2 linked regions of the Elephas maximus indicus genome follow. The main gene of each other region encodes a partner of the protein of the gene in region 2 in a complex. Links are inferred from orthologs where the notes say so. Each region holds a gene or a part of one and is shown on either strand. Other genes may lie near its edges. The genes, in order: GAR1 and WRAP53.

Region 1 (7,966 bases), on a different chromosome or scaffold from region 2:
AAGACAAGAAAAGGTTAATATATAAAGCTATTTCAAATGATACTGACCAACCTCTTCTGAAGGCTTTCTTCTTGGCTTCCTGGGATGTCATCATAACTATTATCATCTAAGCCAAAAGATAACAGTCAATGAGAGTATAGACTCTGGAATCAGACTTTCTAGGCTGGTATACCAATTCCACAATGTACTAACTATGTGATCTAAGTTACCCACTCTCTGTCTGCTTCGACGTCCTCATCTTTAATATGTGGCTAATAATGGTACCTCCATCTAATGTATGGTATTGTGAAGATTAAGTGGGATAATGAATGTTGTTTTATTTCTTTACTAGAATGACACTTATTATTTGATTAAACAACGCTTCATTCTCCTGACTTCTCTTCCTTCTCCCCAATCCCTAACTATGAATCAGTCTTTGTTTCTCTATTGCCTTTTTTTCTTCTCTGTTAAAACATACCCATTCCCACTACCACCTCTTCACCAATGACTCTTCAATTGTTCAAGAATGTTTGGAATTTCAAACAGCCTCTATTGGCTGAAAGCCGAGAATACCAGAAAGATGTTTACCTGTGTTTTATTGACTATGCAAAGGCATTCAACTCTGTGGATCATAAATTATATATGCAAAAAAAGGGAATTCCAGAGCACATGATTGTGCTCATGTGGAGCCTTGTACATAGACCAAGAGGCGGTCATTCGAACAGAACAAGGGGATTCTACATGGTTTAAAATCAGGAAAGGTATGCATCATGGTTGTATCCTTTCACCATACTTATTAAATCTATATGCTGAGCAAATAATCCGAGAAGGTGGGCTATATGAAGGACTCAGCATCAGGATTAGAGGAAGACTCATTAACAACCTGCAGTATGCAGATGATACAATCCCTTTTTGCTGAAAGCGAAGAGGACTTGAAACAATTACTGATGCAAGTTGAGGATGACATCTCAACATAAAGAAAACAAAAATCTTCACACTGGCTCAATAAGCAACACCACGATAAACAGAGAAAGGATTGAAGTTGCCAAGGATTTCATTTTACTTGGATCCCAATCAATGTCCATGGAGGTAGCAGTCAAGAAATCAAACAACGTATTACATTAGACAAATCTGCTGCGAAAGACCTCTTTAAAGTGCTAAAAAGCAAAAATGTCACTGAGAGCTGAAGTGTGCCTGACTCAAGCCATGGTATTTTCAATTGCCTCTTACGGGTCTTATGCATATGAAAGCTGGACAAGTAAAAAGGAAAACCAAAGAAGACATGACGCATTTGAATTACGATGTTTGGCGAAGAACAGGGGATACACCATGGACTGCCAGCAGAAAAAACAAATCTGTCTTGGAAGTACAGCCAGAATGCTCCTTAGAAGCAAGAATGGTGAGACTTTCTCTCAATTACTTTGGACGTGTTAGTAAGAGGGACCAGTCCCTGGAAAAGGACATCATGCTTCGGTCAGGGAAAGAGAGGAAGACCTTCAACTGAAATGGCTGCAAGGATGGGCTCAAGCAAAACAACGACTGAACGCTGCGAAGAACCAGTGATTCGTTCTGTTGTATACATGGTCACTATAAGCTGGAACCAACTCGATGACTCCTGACAACTCTTCCTTTCTGTCAAAGCTCAAGTTCCACTTCCATGATGCATTCTAAGTGTCCTTCACCTTCTTGGTCTCCCCCTCATATGCTACAGCATGATTATAAGTCAGTTAACAACATTACTCACTAACAGACTTGCCTCCCCAAGCAAGCAGCAACTTCCCTACGATAACACCTGACTCCAAGTCAAACTTTCTGACTAACAACACAAGCCCCAAGTCCCAAAGAAGCCATGCATTGAGCTGACATACAAACTACACGTTCTGGAGGTCCTTGGTCTTGGAATTTGTTAAAGCCTCCACGGCCACCCCCTCGTCCAAATCCGCCTCTGCCGCCGCCGCTGCCGCCTCTGAAATTGCCGCCGCCTCCACCTCGGAAGTGGTTGTTGCTGCCGCCGCCGCGACTGAAGCCGCCACCTCCACCACCTCGATTAAAGCCTCCACGACCTCCGCCTCGAAAAGACATGCTCTCTCCTACCTGGTGAGAAAAACGGTACGTGCCTTCAGGTCACTGTAGCCTCTGGATACACCACCTAACTCATCTGAGCCTCGGTCAGAAAACCATAAAAGGGGACAGTGATAATGGTCAGCCCTACCACCCCACTCACGGCCAAGGCACCTGTGACGAACACGAGGAGTGAGCCGTGGCACCTCTCCATGGACCTTCGGGCGCCGACCACTCACCATCCTCGTCGCCCTAGGGTTAGTACCTCCTCCCCCAGCTGGCACCGAGGTCTTCATGCTACATTCCCTTCCTCCCTTCCTCCCTCCTTCCCTGGCTGCGCTCCACATCCAGAACGCTCAGATCTTCGGGCTTCCTAAAGCCACTTACCGGCGCCACGTGCACCTCTGGCCCGGACGGTGCACGCACACCCACTTTCCCGGTACTTCCACCACCCGCGAGCCTCCTCGGCCACCGTATCTGCGTAGAGTGGGAGGGGGGAAATGCCCCGACCGGAAGTTGGAATAACTGACCAGCCAAAAGGAGCCAGTCACCAGCGAGACCAGCGACGATTTCACCTTTCTAAAACAGGTTTCATCCCCGTAAAAGTAAGAGCGATATCAAGCTTCAAACGCTAGTTTACAACAATTACGTCAACTTGCCTGACGACGGGCAGAGGAAGTGACGTAGGTAGCGTCCTTTGCATCATGACGTTAAAGGAAGTGCCGCTGCGCTGTTGCCCTTGGAGATGGATGGCGTTAGGGCTCTGCCACCTCTCCCGGGAGCCAGGAGGGTACTATTTGGAGCACGTTCGCTCCAGCGGTCACTGCGGACTGGCCGCGCGCTGTAGCTTCTCGGGCAGTAACATGATCCCCGACCTCGCTCTTCAGTTCATTGTCCGCTCTAGCAACCGTGCAGTCACAGCTCTGAGGACTCTTGATCCGCGCTCTGCCCAGAGGTGGATCTGGCCGCGTCGGAACCTGTCACAACCAGTGACGGGCTCGTCTGCGTTCTTTGTTCCGGAATTCTTTGTTTTTTCCGGTTCTTTTGAAGTACGCACCATTGTGGACTGAACTGTTCTTGTGCTTTTGTCCTGTGATTTCACTAGCTGCAGGAAGAAAAACAATGTGTATTTATATGTATATACGTTTAAAGAAACTACATTATCTGATAGAAAGCCAAACTTTTTTTTTTTGGTACCAGGTAGTTTATTCATGTGTCAAGTACTTTTTGAGCATAGACCTGGTGTTAGGCTGTGCCCCAACCTATACTGGTTGCCCCTCACCCCCTTCCCTCCTTCAGCCTTCGCTACATCTGTCTTCAGCTTCCCTCCACCAGCTAAAACTTCTCTCCCAAAGAAAGCTTGTATAACTTCCGATTAGTTAGCTTTGGTTGGATTCTTTTACACCCGAATTCTCTGCGACCTTTTCTTGATATTTGACATTGCTGACCATCCCTTCTTTGAAAGAGAGTGAGGATTGGCACCTATTTCAGAAGGCAATTATAAGTTTAAGTGAGATTTTGAAAGAACTTTGTGAACTCCACTATAGAAATGTTAGAAATTATAGTATGTCTTCTACACTAACTTAAAAGCTCTTTGAGAGACACCTGAGTTCTGTATACAAAATGAATTTGATAAATGTAGCTTTAATTCAGATTCGATAAATGTACTTAAATTCTGTCATACGGGAGTAAAATTACTCATACCTGCCATGCTGTTTTACTTTTGTGTCACTTAAGTTTGGTCTTTTATCTCCTTTTGGTGTCCCACTACTATCTCCAACTCAGTATGATGAAATCATTGAACTTTTTTGGGACCTTCAAGAGCACCTGGAGCCTACCACCTTTATTCTACAAGTAAGGAAATGACATTCCAAGAAGCAAAGTAACTTTCCCAGCTGGTTAGAAAGAAACTTGAAATGGGTTTTCACAGTCCTCAGTCCTTCTCTACCCATCCCGCTTTCCTCTTGCCAAAATGTTCATGTTTCCAAATCTCTGTTTGTCTTCATGATACAATCATACTCTTGTTTTCTAAATATTTGGACTCAAACCTTTCAGCACTCTCCTTCTTCCCTACCACCTATCCACAATCCAGTCTTTTATCCGAAGCTAGCAATTTCTGTTAATTCCTTCTAAGGTAGCTTTGTACTGTCAACAACCTATTACAGGCCTCCTGTTGTCGCTGCCAAATTTTCTTATGTTATCTCTACCCTAGATCACCCTATAAAATGTGCAAGAATTCAAAAGACCAGAAATAACAGTGAATCACAACATCCTGTCACATTTTGAGCATCTTGGTTACCTCAAACTATGCTTCGAGGCTACACTCTTCCTCCCGTCATCTGTACTGCATATGATGACATATTGAACTTTCCAAATCAGTTCCCGCATGTCATATCCATCCCCAGGACCCAAAACAGCTTCCTGTTCCCTTTAGCATTGAGTCTAAAATAAAATCTCCACATTCTATATAAAACTTTATATAATTAGTTGTGTTTCCCTCCTGTGTTATATACCATTCCTCCGTTCCAGCAGGCCAGCATCATCACCAGACAGCCTGCATGCCTTGCATCTTGTGCTGTCCCTTTGTCAAACACTTGCTTGGAAAAGCTCCATTTTCCATCCACTCGACTGGCCTTTTTCTTTTTACCTGAGGAACTCTTAAAAATTTTTTCATGTCTCAGGAACCCCTACATAAAAATTATTATATATACAGACCACAGTATGTTAGCATGATCAAGAAGTTGTAAATAAAAAACCAGCTGCTATCCTGGCGATTTCGCTCATGGCAACTCTATGTGTGTCAGGAGTAGAACTGTGCTCCACAATCCAATGATAATTGTCAGTGCTCTTTTGAGTAAATAATGATGTTTTTCTATGAATCTGTTTATTTTTGTCCAGCTTGTTAGCCTACTCTGTAGCTCTCCCTCCTCACAAAGAATATCAACTCTAATGCAAATTAAATGAGAAAGGAAACCTCAGCTTTTCTTTAAAAAAAAAAAAAACCTTGAATTTTTAAATCTTACCCAAATAGGCCTAAAAGTATTCACAAATTTCTGCTATATAAGATGCTAACGAGGTATGGTATGCGGTATATGATATGTGCAGAAGTAGGTTTTTCCCTCTATTTAAAACTGAAAATGACTTTTTAGCCAAACTTTCTTGAAGGGGTTGCGGGGGGGGGGGGGGGACAACAGGTTAAGCTTAGCTTACTTTTCTTGAGATTAATCTCTTTCCTTTTTATAAACCAAAACCAAACCCAGTGCCGTCAAGTCAATTCCAACTCATAGTGACCCTATAGGACAGAATAGAACTGCCCCATAGAGTTTCCAAGGAGCATCTGGCGGATTCGAATTGCTGACCCTTTGGTTAGCAGCCATAGCACTTTACTACGCCACCAGGGTTTCCAAACCCGTTGCATTCAAGTCGATTCTGACTCATAGCAACCCTATGGGACAGAGTAAAACTGCCCCTTAGTGTTTCCAAGGAGCAGCTGGTGGATTCAAACTGCTGACCTTTTGGTTAGCAGCCAAGCTCTTAACCACTGTGCCACCCGGGCTCCTTCCTTTTTATAAACTATAAATATTTATATGGCAAACATCATAACTTTCTGTTGAGTAACTGGCCTCAGGCAAAATGGATTTTATTTTTTTTTAAGGTAGGCTCAGTAGATCTAATTTAAATTTAGTAAAGGCTTCAAATTGATTTTTATTAATGTTGTTTACAAAATGAAAAAAGTATTGAGAATGTGGAAGAGTGAAGCTACTAAAATCACAAACCAAAGCAATAGTAAAAATATAGCCCAAGACATAATTTTACTTAAGACTTTGAAAATACATTTTCTTACTCAGTGACTTGATCAGACTCAAATATAGGCCTGTTGTTGTTAGGTTTCGCTGAGTCGATTTTGACTCATAGCAACCCTATGTGACGTAGTATATAACTGTCCCATAGGGTTTTCTGGCTGTAATCTTTATGGTAGCAGATCGTCAGAGCTTTCTTCTACAGAGCTGCTGGGTAGGTTCAAACCACCAGCCTTGGAGTTAGCAGTCGAACACTTAATTGCACCACCAAGGCTCCTAAATATAGGCCTAGCAGTTACAAAATTATGCACATGTGTTGATTTCTTGATCTCTTTTTATAGGCCTATATATGCATAAAGTGTTACTTTTGAAACGAAAAATACTGAAATTTGCCTAATTCGTGTGAAACCTTTGCTTATCTTTTGCTGCACAGATGCTCAATTCTGAGTCAAACTTAAGATTGGCACACACAGATTTTATTTTCAACTGATATGAAATGATTTCTGCCTTTGCTCTTAATGCTCCTGAGACAAGAAAAGGTTTGCTCACATGTGAGAAGTTGAAAAGTACAGTAAAACATGTATTTGTGTTCCTATGAATTTCCTTCACAGAAATCCAGAACTTGTAGAGGGCAGATCAGTACATTTCATCTTATGTTTATACAGAGAATAATTCTTCCTCTTCTCTCAGATTCTCAGGCTGAGAAGAAGACTCAGAGAAATAAACCCTCATCCAGTCATATATTTCTGTTGAAAGGGAAGGAAAAATGCTGTTTAATTTTGTTCTCCAATCCCCTCAGGTGGTCTTCAATAACACTTGAGACTTCTCACTTTCAAATCTAAGCAGCAGTGGGAACATTTCAAGATTTCCTTTTGCAGTATGATTTTCCCAAAGACTCAGTTTCCATTTAACCCCAAAAATCTTATCACTTGAAGTAAAATATTTTCTCCATCTTTAAGTAGTTCATGTGGTGAAAAATATCTGCTAACTAGTTTCTGCAGCCATCTTTATCGTCAAAGCACTTGACAAAATCTGGCTTACTATTTTCTTGAAAGTATTTCTAACAGGTCACCTTTCAGCTCAAACATCCTGTAAAGAACCAAAATCAGTATCAGTTTTTCTTTCTGTATAAGAAATTACTCCAACACTTAGTGGCTTAAAACAATAAATATTTATCTTGCACAATTTGTGGGTCAGAAATTCAGGAGCAATTCAGCTGGGTTGTTCTGGCCCAGGGTTTCATGAAGTTTCCGTCAAGATGTCCATGGGGACTACAGTCATCTGAAGACTTGACTGGGGCTGGAGAATCATTTCCGAGGTGGCTCACTCACATTCCTAGCAAGTTGATGCTGCCTGTTGGCAGGAGACCTCGTTTCCTCACCACATGGACCTCTTCACAGAGATTAAGGACTTGAATATTCTCATGACGTGTCAGCTGGCTTCTCCCAGAACAAATGATCTGCTAAGCCACAAGATTCATGCACATGGCAGGAGATTTGTGTTGTCTTTGTCCAACACAGTTTTAAACACAGCTTAAAAAAAAAAAAAAATTTTTTTTTTTTTAAATACTGCTTAAATGCCACAGTGAACTGGTCTTGGTTTGATAAGGTTAACCATTTTTATAGCATCATCCAGAACTTCTTTTGTTTTATCTCCAAAAGTTTCTAACACCAGCATGACTCTGGGACGAAAGCAGTGTGTTGTGAAAACATCAGGATTTTCTTTCTCTACAAGAGATGTAACCTCTCAGGGAGTCAATCTTTGATGGGCACCATCAATACAGATGCCAACACACTTCCTCCAAGACATACCATTGGTTTCTAGACATGAAGACAAAACATCAAATATATCTTGGCCTTTGCTCATGTGGGGCAAAAAATTTCTCAAATTTCACCATAATTTACAAGTCTTACAAATGTTACCTCATGACATTTGTTGTTGAAATCTGTTGATTCATCCATCTGGATAAAGAAGCTGTTGGTTTTAGTTTATTACACAAAATTTCTTCAGCATCATGTGACATGTCATGAATTATGTCAATTTATCAAATGTTAAGAATGAAACTTTTTCAGTTTCTCATACTGCATCTGGTCCTAGCATTTTACTCTATAATTTTACATGCAGGA
Region 2 (7,660 bases):
ACATTTGACTGTGACCTTGTTGGGAATTAGGGTCTTTGAAGACCCTACTGTTATGAGTTAGCATGACGTCATACTGGAATAGGGTGGGTCCTAATCCAATCATGAGGAGTATCCTTATAAAAGAAAATAAGATTCTACATGACATGGCTCCTAGTTACCCACCATCCTCACCCCACTTTTCCCCTCACTTGCCTCAGTCCAGCCATGTTGACCTTCTGTTCTTTAAACACCCAGAAGTCTTTCCTAGTCCTTGATCTCTGTAATGTCATTGCCTCTTCCTAGAATGCACTGTCCATGGCTTTTCACATGACTGGCCCATTATCAGGCTTCAGGTCTCAGCTCAAGCATCTCCATTACAAACAGTCCCTTTTTCACCATTTTAGCTAAAATGGTATTCTCCAGTTAGTCTCTCGTTCTGTTCATTTCCTTCATTGCATATATATAACCTGTAATGATCCTGATTACTTATAGGTTTACATGTTTGCTGTCTATCTCACACTCAAGAAAGGAAATCAGCTTTTCATCTGTCTTGTTCACCAGTTCATCCCAGCACCAAACACTGTGACTGGCATACTGGTTAGTCACTCAACAAATATCCGTAGATAAATTAAATACTACCACAAGAAACCCACTAATTTTTCATAAAAAATATATTCCTGGTTGAAGAAGAGGCAAAGATCTCTTCAAATACTTCAGAATTCAGGGCAGAAAATGCTGCCTGGAATTCATGGTGCAGAAGGGTCCCGTTTGTGAATAGGAGACATGTAGACTATGTTTTCTCCATCTAAGTGCAAAGAGTTAAATGCAAGGTATCTGAGGAAGGGGTAGAGTTAGCCCCTGCCCTTACCATTTCTGCATATTCCAGCTGCTCCTCCTCACTGTACAGCTCTGGGGGCAGGTTGTAAATCCGTAAGATGTTATCAGCACTATTGGTCAAGATGCAGGAACCGTCAGGGGCCCTAAAAGCAAAAGAGTTACAAGGCTGGGCAGACACATGATTTCCAACTGTAAAGCTACGGCTGAGCCTACCTCTGGGATAGGTAAGCACTCTAAGTTCTTGAGAGAAGTGGAGGACCCAAAGCCCTGCATGGAATTTAAGCTCAATCTTAAGAGGGATTCTTATTCTTTCCCCCATCTCTGTCTCAACCAGGTCCTTCTCCCAGATAATCAAGACCAAATCCACTGCAGTCAGTCAATTCCAACTCAGAGTGATCCAATGGGACAGAAAAGAACTGCCCCAAAGGGTTTCCATGGAGCAGCTGGTGGATTCAAACTGCCGACCTTTTGGTTAGCAACCTGGGATCTTAACCACTGTGCCACCAGGACTAATATACCTGGGGTGTTTTCAAGTGACCCTGTCTCATTATCCTTACTTACCATTTACATCCTTTAAGAAAGTTCTCGGGTTGGGTGCTGAATTCTGACCACGAACCACTGAGAAATCGAGGCAGCTGGGAGAAGCTGTAATTCCAAGTGCTGGAAGGAAGATAGGAGACAACAAATCTGGATCGCCAAAGCGAAGAGGAAATGGGGCTGGAGAAGTAGGTGAGGGCTGGAGGATACCATACATCTCACACTTCCAAACTCCTGATCCCAGAGTCAACTTACGTGTTTCCCTCATCCTCTAAAGCTGGCTCTTTGGACACACCTTCCATGGCTTCTCCAGACCCCAACTCCGGTCTGTTCGTTTCTTCTGCAGAAAGGCTCGCATTTTCAGGTTCTTGCTCCTCGATTCGAGGACTCAACTCCCCAGGGGTACCAAATCCCGTTTCCGAGAGAGTGGAGAGAGAAGCTGGGCCCTCCTCACCCAGTTCCTGGGACACAGCTGAGACAGCCACGGGATCTGGGGATATCCTGGACGGATCAGCCCCTTCGGGTGGCAGCAGTATTAGTTCAGGGTCCGTATTTTTATCCATCGGGGAAGCCTGGGGCGAGAGAGTGGCTGGAGCTGGGGCCTGGACTGAAGGAAGGCAGTCTGGAGCTAACGGTTGCGCCTCCGGCGTCTGCATACTGCAGAGAAAGTGCGACAGACACTGGCCTCGGGCCGGGCAACCCTCTTCCGTTTGGCTACTGGTTGCCTACTTCGCAGAGCGGCCGGGGCAGCTTCAGACTTCGCAGGGATCCGGACCGAGGACCGGAGAAACCCACCTGTGCCTCCCTTCCTCTCCCGAGAGGGGGCAGATCTCCAGCAAGCGAGACGAACTGGGCACACCAAAGTGGAAACCACAGCGTTCCTTAGCTCCGTGGGTCGCTACGCGCCACTTGCTCTCGCGGGATTTGGCCTCACCTTCCGATTGGGCCTCCGCATCCCAGATCAGATTTCCCGGGAGACCCACAGGAGGGGCGGAGCGGGGCGGTGATGTACGTCAGACCGTTTACAGTTCCCATTAAGCTCTGGGACCCTCAATGGCTGCTGGGAGTTGTAGGCTGAACGCTTTTGCCTCGGCGAAAGTACCCGAGCTCCCCCTGCCGTCTCCAGCGGTCGTTCGTAAAGACTAAAGCGCTTACCCACGTAATCTGCAGTGGGCGCCAGCACTGTATTTGACTTTACAGTTTTTGAACCTCTTTTGCGTCTCAGTCGCCAAATTCCGCAAGCCTCCCTCTTTTTTCATTTATCAAAAAAATATTCTTGCTACCCAGGTCCCTGGGTGGTGCAAACTTGTGCTCCTTAGCGGTTCAAAACTACCCAGCGGTGGTGCCATGGAAGGAAGGCCTGGCTATCTGTTTTCATAAACACTAAACCAAAAAATCCAAATTTGTTGCCGTGGAGTTGATTCCAACTCATAGCGACCCTATAAGTCTGCCCCATAGGGTTTCCAAGGAGCGACTGATGGAACTGAACTGCCAACCTTTAGGTTAGACGGTCAGCTCTTAACCACTGCACTGCCAGGGCTCCACGTAAAGATTACAGTCAAGAAAACCCGATGAAGCAGTTCTACGGTTCTACTGTGCAACACATGGGGTGGCCATGAGTCAGAACTGACTTGACAGCAACAGGTTTGTTTGTTTTTACTTGTTGGCTTTTTTTTTTTTTAACTTTCTATCAGTAGACGAAGTCTCTGCCCTTAAAAGGCTTACGTTGCTGTGTATTGAAGTTAATGAACAAATCTTTTCAGATAGTGACAAGGGCTGTGAAGGAAATTATCTGAAAGAATAGGGTAGATGGGGATATCAAAGACGGCCTCCGTAACAGGTGACATTTTAGCTGATGAGAAGAAATTTATCCAACTACCTGGAGAAGCGTTCTAGGGAGAAGGAAAAGCAAGTACAAAGGCTTTCTTTTTTTTCCACACTGCATATTTGACACAATGGCCTGAATACTCCAAAATGTTTTCCATCAATTCTACTCTTGCAGCTCTAGTTTGTAGAACTTCCCCACCACAAAATCCTGGTTCTCTTCGCTCCCTCCTCTCCCACTCCTTATCCGCTTCGCCCCTGCCTACAGGCAAATTACTTGCCCTTACTTGTCATGGCGACTGTCCAGCTTTGTGCCAGAAGCCTCGCGGTGGTTGCTGGGATTGGGAGTTTCCCTTCCCATGTGCTCACACTGGCGCTAAAAGTTTTCAGCTCTTCAAAAGCCCAAAGCCACCATCCTGGTTGCAGCTAGCTGCTGGGCTCTGGCGGTACCTGGTGTCCGGGCTCGGAGCGTGCTTCCAAGGACGGTTACACGCTCGCCTGAGGTTCGGGTAAGCTCTTGACAGCCTGATGAGTCCTCTCTAAGCTTTCGGCTCCGTGCATTTTCAGCTCGGAGATCGCAGGGGCTGGGGGTGGGGCATTGGAGATTTAGCGAGTTTTGGAGTTTGGCTGACGGATCAACATAGGAGTGCAATGTTTCGAGCCCTGGGGGTAGAGTAAAAGGATGTTAGTACCAGCAGATTTAGAGCTTTAACACCTGGGCGGGAGAGTGGGGCTTTAGGGGAAACTTGAGCCGGCCTAAGAGATTCTTCCCCACCCTACCTTCCTATCCAAGTACCAGGTATGGGAATCCTGAAATAAGACGCTCAACGAGTTGGGGTCTGAGTCTGTCCGATCTCGGAACATTGGGAATTCATGGCTCGAGACTAGAGCCCATGGCATCCTGGTGGACTCTCAGGCTCCATCCCAAAAGATTATTTGAGGTGATAACAGCAAGCCCGAACTGGTAAGGGTCCATAACTTCCGGACCTTTGTCCTTCCTGGCGTGGTCTTTCCAGCCAGCCCCGGCGCTGCTAGGTGGAGATAATTCAATTAAAGACTGTTAGGAGAGTCCTGTTATTGTTTGGCTCTACATTTGCATTTCTGCCGCTCGCATAGCATTTCCGGTTTCTTTTAATCGGAGCAGCTCACTAGTCACCCGATGGGAGGGGAGTAGAAGGAAACAGAAAATGTACTTCAGACTAGTTCGTATTACTTGCGGAGGAACGCTGCTCTTTCTTTTCCCTTTCTTTTTTCCCAGGACTTATTAGTTACCTCTTTTGTATAAAAAAAAAAAGGGGTATTTGTTTTGATGCAAAGCTCAGTCCCTCCCCCTCTTGAATGGTGTGCCCCACCCCCGGTCGCCTGCGATCGAGGCGGACGAGACCACTGCGTGGGATGGGTTAAAAAATAAAAATGCAGAGTGCAAACCTGGATATTTCCGAGAAGGCTTACACTTGAAAATCAAGGGCGAAAAAGTGGCAATAATGGGCCGTTGGTTTGTGCCTGAGAAACAATCTATCTTCTACCTGGCTTTGGGCTAAGCAATTCCAATTTCGGACGCAGCCTGAACGTCCTGAAAGCGGAAGGGGCGGGCCTAGGGGAAGGGCGGGCTCCGAGGTCCCAAGTCCAGCCCTTCGGACCCTGCTGGTTCTTGCTGGTGGGAGGGAGGCGGTGCGACCCGCTTGAAGCCCAAAGAGAGTCCATTTCTCCCGCATCTCCATCACGTAGGGTCTTGGTTCATTCAGCAGTTACCACGCACCTGCTACGAACAGGCACTGTGCGCGGTATTTAATGTGTTTCTTGTTTTCTTTACTTGTAGCAGCTACACATAGTGCAACTTCGAGTGTACAGGAAGATGAATGTAACCCATACGTCCATGAAAATATAGAACATTTTCATCACCCCAGAAAAGTTTTCTCATGCTTCTTCCTCCTCAATCTCGGACCCTCCACACACACCTTTATTTTTATTTTTGCCATAATGGACTAGTTTTGCCTGTTCGAGAACTCCACATAAATGGAGTCATACAGGATGTACTCTTTTATGCCCGGCTTCTTTCCTAAAGCATGATGTGTGTGAAATTCATCCATTGCATTTATCAGTGGTGTTTCAGTATTTTTATTTATATATTTCACCGTTTACCCATTCTCTTTTTGGTGGCCATTGAGTTGGAAACACGTTTATTTTTACGAATAAAGTAGCTATATTGGGCACCACAATAAAAAAAAAAAAAAAAGAAAAATGTGAAAAAACAGAACAAGGTAGTGTCCTCAGTCGGATAAAGGGAATCCACGACGGTTTACCATCAACAGCACACATCATAGTGAGAGTCTGAATGCTTTTCCTCCACAATCAGGAGCTAGGAAAAGATTCCACTCGCATCGCTTCTGCGATATAACAAAGTCCTAACCAAGCAAAAAAAAAAAAAATCATAGCGATTGCAAAAGAAGAACTTAAATAGCTTTATTCACAGCCAGTTTTGTGTATATAAGAAATCCTCATAGAAAATTCATGAAAAGCTACCAGTGCTAATAAATACAGCAGGGTAACGGGTGGCAACAGCAGTATACATAAACCTCCCTTTGACTGTCACTCCCAATCCCATGAGCACACATACCTGTCTCCCAGAAACTGTTGCGATCATAGCAAAAATGTTGTCAATGTTAATTGTGGCCTGTCTTTCGCACTTTTACATGCATATGTTTATAGGCAATAAATAGTCGTTTTGTGTTTTTTTTTTTTCTTTTCTTTTAATTTGCCTTGTGGTTTGTGATACATGGAGTCCCTGGGTGGTACCATTAAAGCTGGGCTGCTAACCAAAATGTTGGAAGTTCAAGTCTACCCAGGGGCACCTCAGAAGAAAAGCCTGGCAGTCTACTTCCAAGAAATCATCCACTGGAAACCTTAGGGAGCACGGTCCTACACTGACACACGTGGGATCACCATGAGTCAGAATCGACTTGATTCTGACAATACTGTGTTTTGCTTTTTTCTACAAATTTTATTTATCACCCAATCTGTTTTGAGATAATACGTTTACATACATACAGATATATTAATTTCTGTAAACTACTGCAGTAAGCTTCTTTTGTGAATATGCCATGTTTATTTAGCCATTCTATTGATGGATATTATGTGTCTCCTGCCACTTGCCATTAGGAACAGCACTGAACATTTTTTGTAAGACTCCTTTTTGCTGCTCACATGCAAATATATTTTATGGAGTCGATCCAGGAGTGATTTTGCTGAATAGTAAGGTGTGTGCATTTTAAATCTTTCCAGATACTGGTACTTTGCTTCAGATCCTTTCCAGAATCGATTTTTCTTTTTTGTTTTCCTAATCAAATAACTTTCAGCAAAAAAAAAAAAAAAAAAGTGCCAGCTTCTGGGTGAAGCTTGAGCAACATAATTATTAGATCTTGGATGTGGTTTCAGACAGCCCAGGTTCAAATCCCTGGCCCTGCCCCTTGGGAGCTTTATGAACCTGGGAAAGTGACTTAATTCCTTTGACCCTCGGTCCCCTCATCTGGTGATAATACCTACCTTAAGGGCTTTCTGAGAGGATTTAAGCCACAGAAAGCAGTGGGCCCTGGAGGGTGCCTGTAAACAACAGCCATTGTTATCATGGGGCCTGCCCCTCCCTGGAGTCCCAGCAGTGTTGATTTCCTCCCCCATATAAATGTCTGGCCTCCCCAGCCCTTTGGAAAGTCCTCTTCAACTTCTGAACATTTTGTGTCGTGGCCACCTCACTGGTACCTGTGGAGAATACCTGCTCTGAGAAAGTTTGCTAGTGATGGCCTGCTCTTTAGAGAAAGAAACATTGCAGATTCAGTTGCTACTGAGGACTAAAGTGTTGGAATCAACTCAAAGGCAATGGGCTTGGCTTGGGCCCTCCTATGAGGTTGTATATCTCTGAGTGGAATTGAGACCTTGAGCACCCCCATCCCAGAACAGCCCTTCCTGATGTGTTTACTGAACAGGTCCCTGAAGGAGGTGAACTTGAATTAACAGGGTGGGGGCAGTACTGCAAAAGCCCCACTAGCCCACCATGACAAAGTTCTCATTCTAGAATAAGGATCATTATCATATAAACAGTGGCATAGTGGTTAAGAGCTCGGGCTGCTAACCAAAAGGTGGGCAATTGGGATCCACTAGCTGCTCCTTGGAAATCCTATGGGGAAGTTCTACTCTGTCCTATAGGGTCGCTATGGGTCAGAATTGACTCGATGGCAACGGGTTAATGGGTTTTAACAGTTATTGAGGAGTCCCCGGGTAGTCCAAACAGTTAACACACTCCACTGCTATCCAAAAGGTTGAAAGTTCAAGTCCATCTAGAGGTATCTAGGAAGAAAGGCCTGGTGATCTGCTTCTGAAAAATCAGCCATTGAAAACCCTAGGGAGCGCAGTTCTACCCTGATACACGTGGGATTGCCACGAGTTGGAATCAACTTGATGGCAGCTGGTGGTGCTGGAATAGTTATTG

What was found.
Region 1: WRAP53 (region 2) and GAR1 share a complex: the UniProt entries of both Homo sapiens proteins name them as parts of the telomerase holoenzyme complex. The link is inferred for Elephas maximus indicus from reciprocal best matches to the Homo sapiens genes WRAP53 and GAR1.

The regions. Positions count from the first base shown.
Region 1 is NC_064823.1:41,299,186-41,307,151, forward strand, and holds the start of GAR1 (H/ACA ribonucleoprotein complex subunit 1), read right to left. Parts: upstream 3,095-7,966; 5' UTR 2,700-3,094; intron 2,685-2,699; exon of another isoform or gene 2,428-2,684; intron 2,074-2,427; 5' UTR 2,062-2,073; coding exon 1,848-2,061; intron 1-1,847. UniProt on the Homo sapiens protein: Required for ribosome biogenesis and telomere maintenance. Part of the H/ACA small nucleolar ribonucleoprotein (H/ACA snoRNP) complex, which catalyzes pseudouridylation of rRNA.
Region 2 is NC_064837.1:13,113,111-13,120,770, forward strand, and holds the start of WRAP53 (telomerase Cajal body protein 1), read right to left. Parts: upstream 3,548-7,660; 5' UTR 2,010-3,547; coding exon 1,609-2,009; intron 1,477-1,608; coding exon 1,378-1,476; intron 960-1,377; coding exon 848-959; intron 1-847. UniProt on the Homo sapiens protein: RNA chaperone that plays a key role in telomere maintenance and RNA localization to Cajal bodies. Specifically recognizes and binds the Cajal body box (CAB box) present in both small Cajal body RNAs (scaRNAs) and telomerase RNA template component (TERC).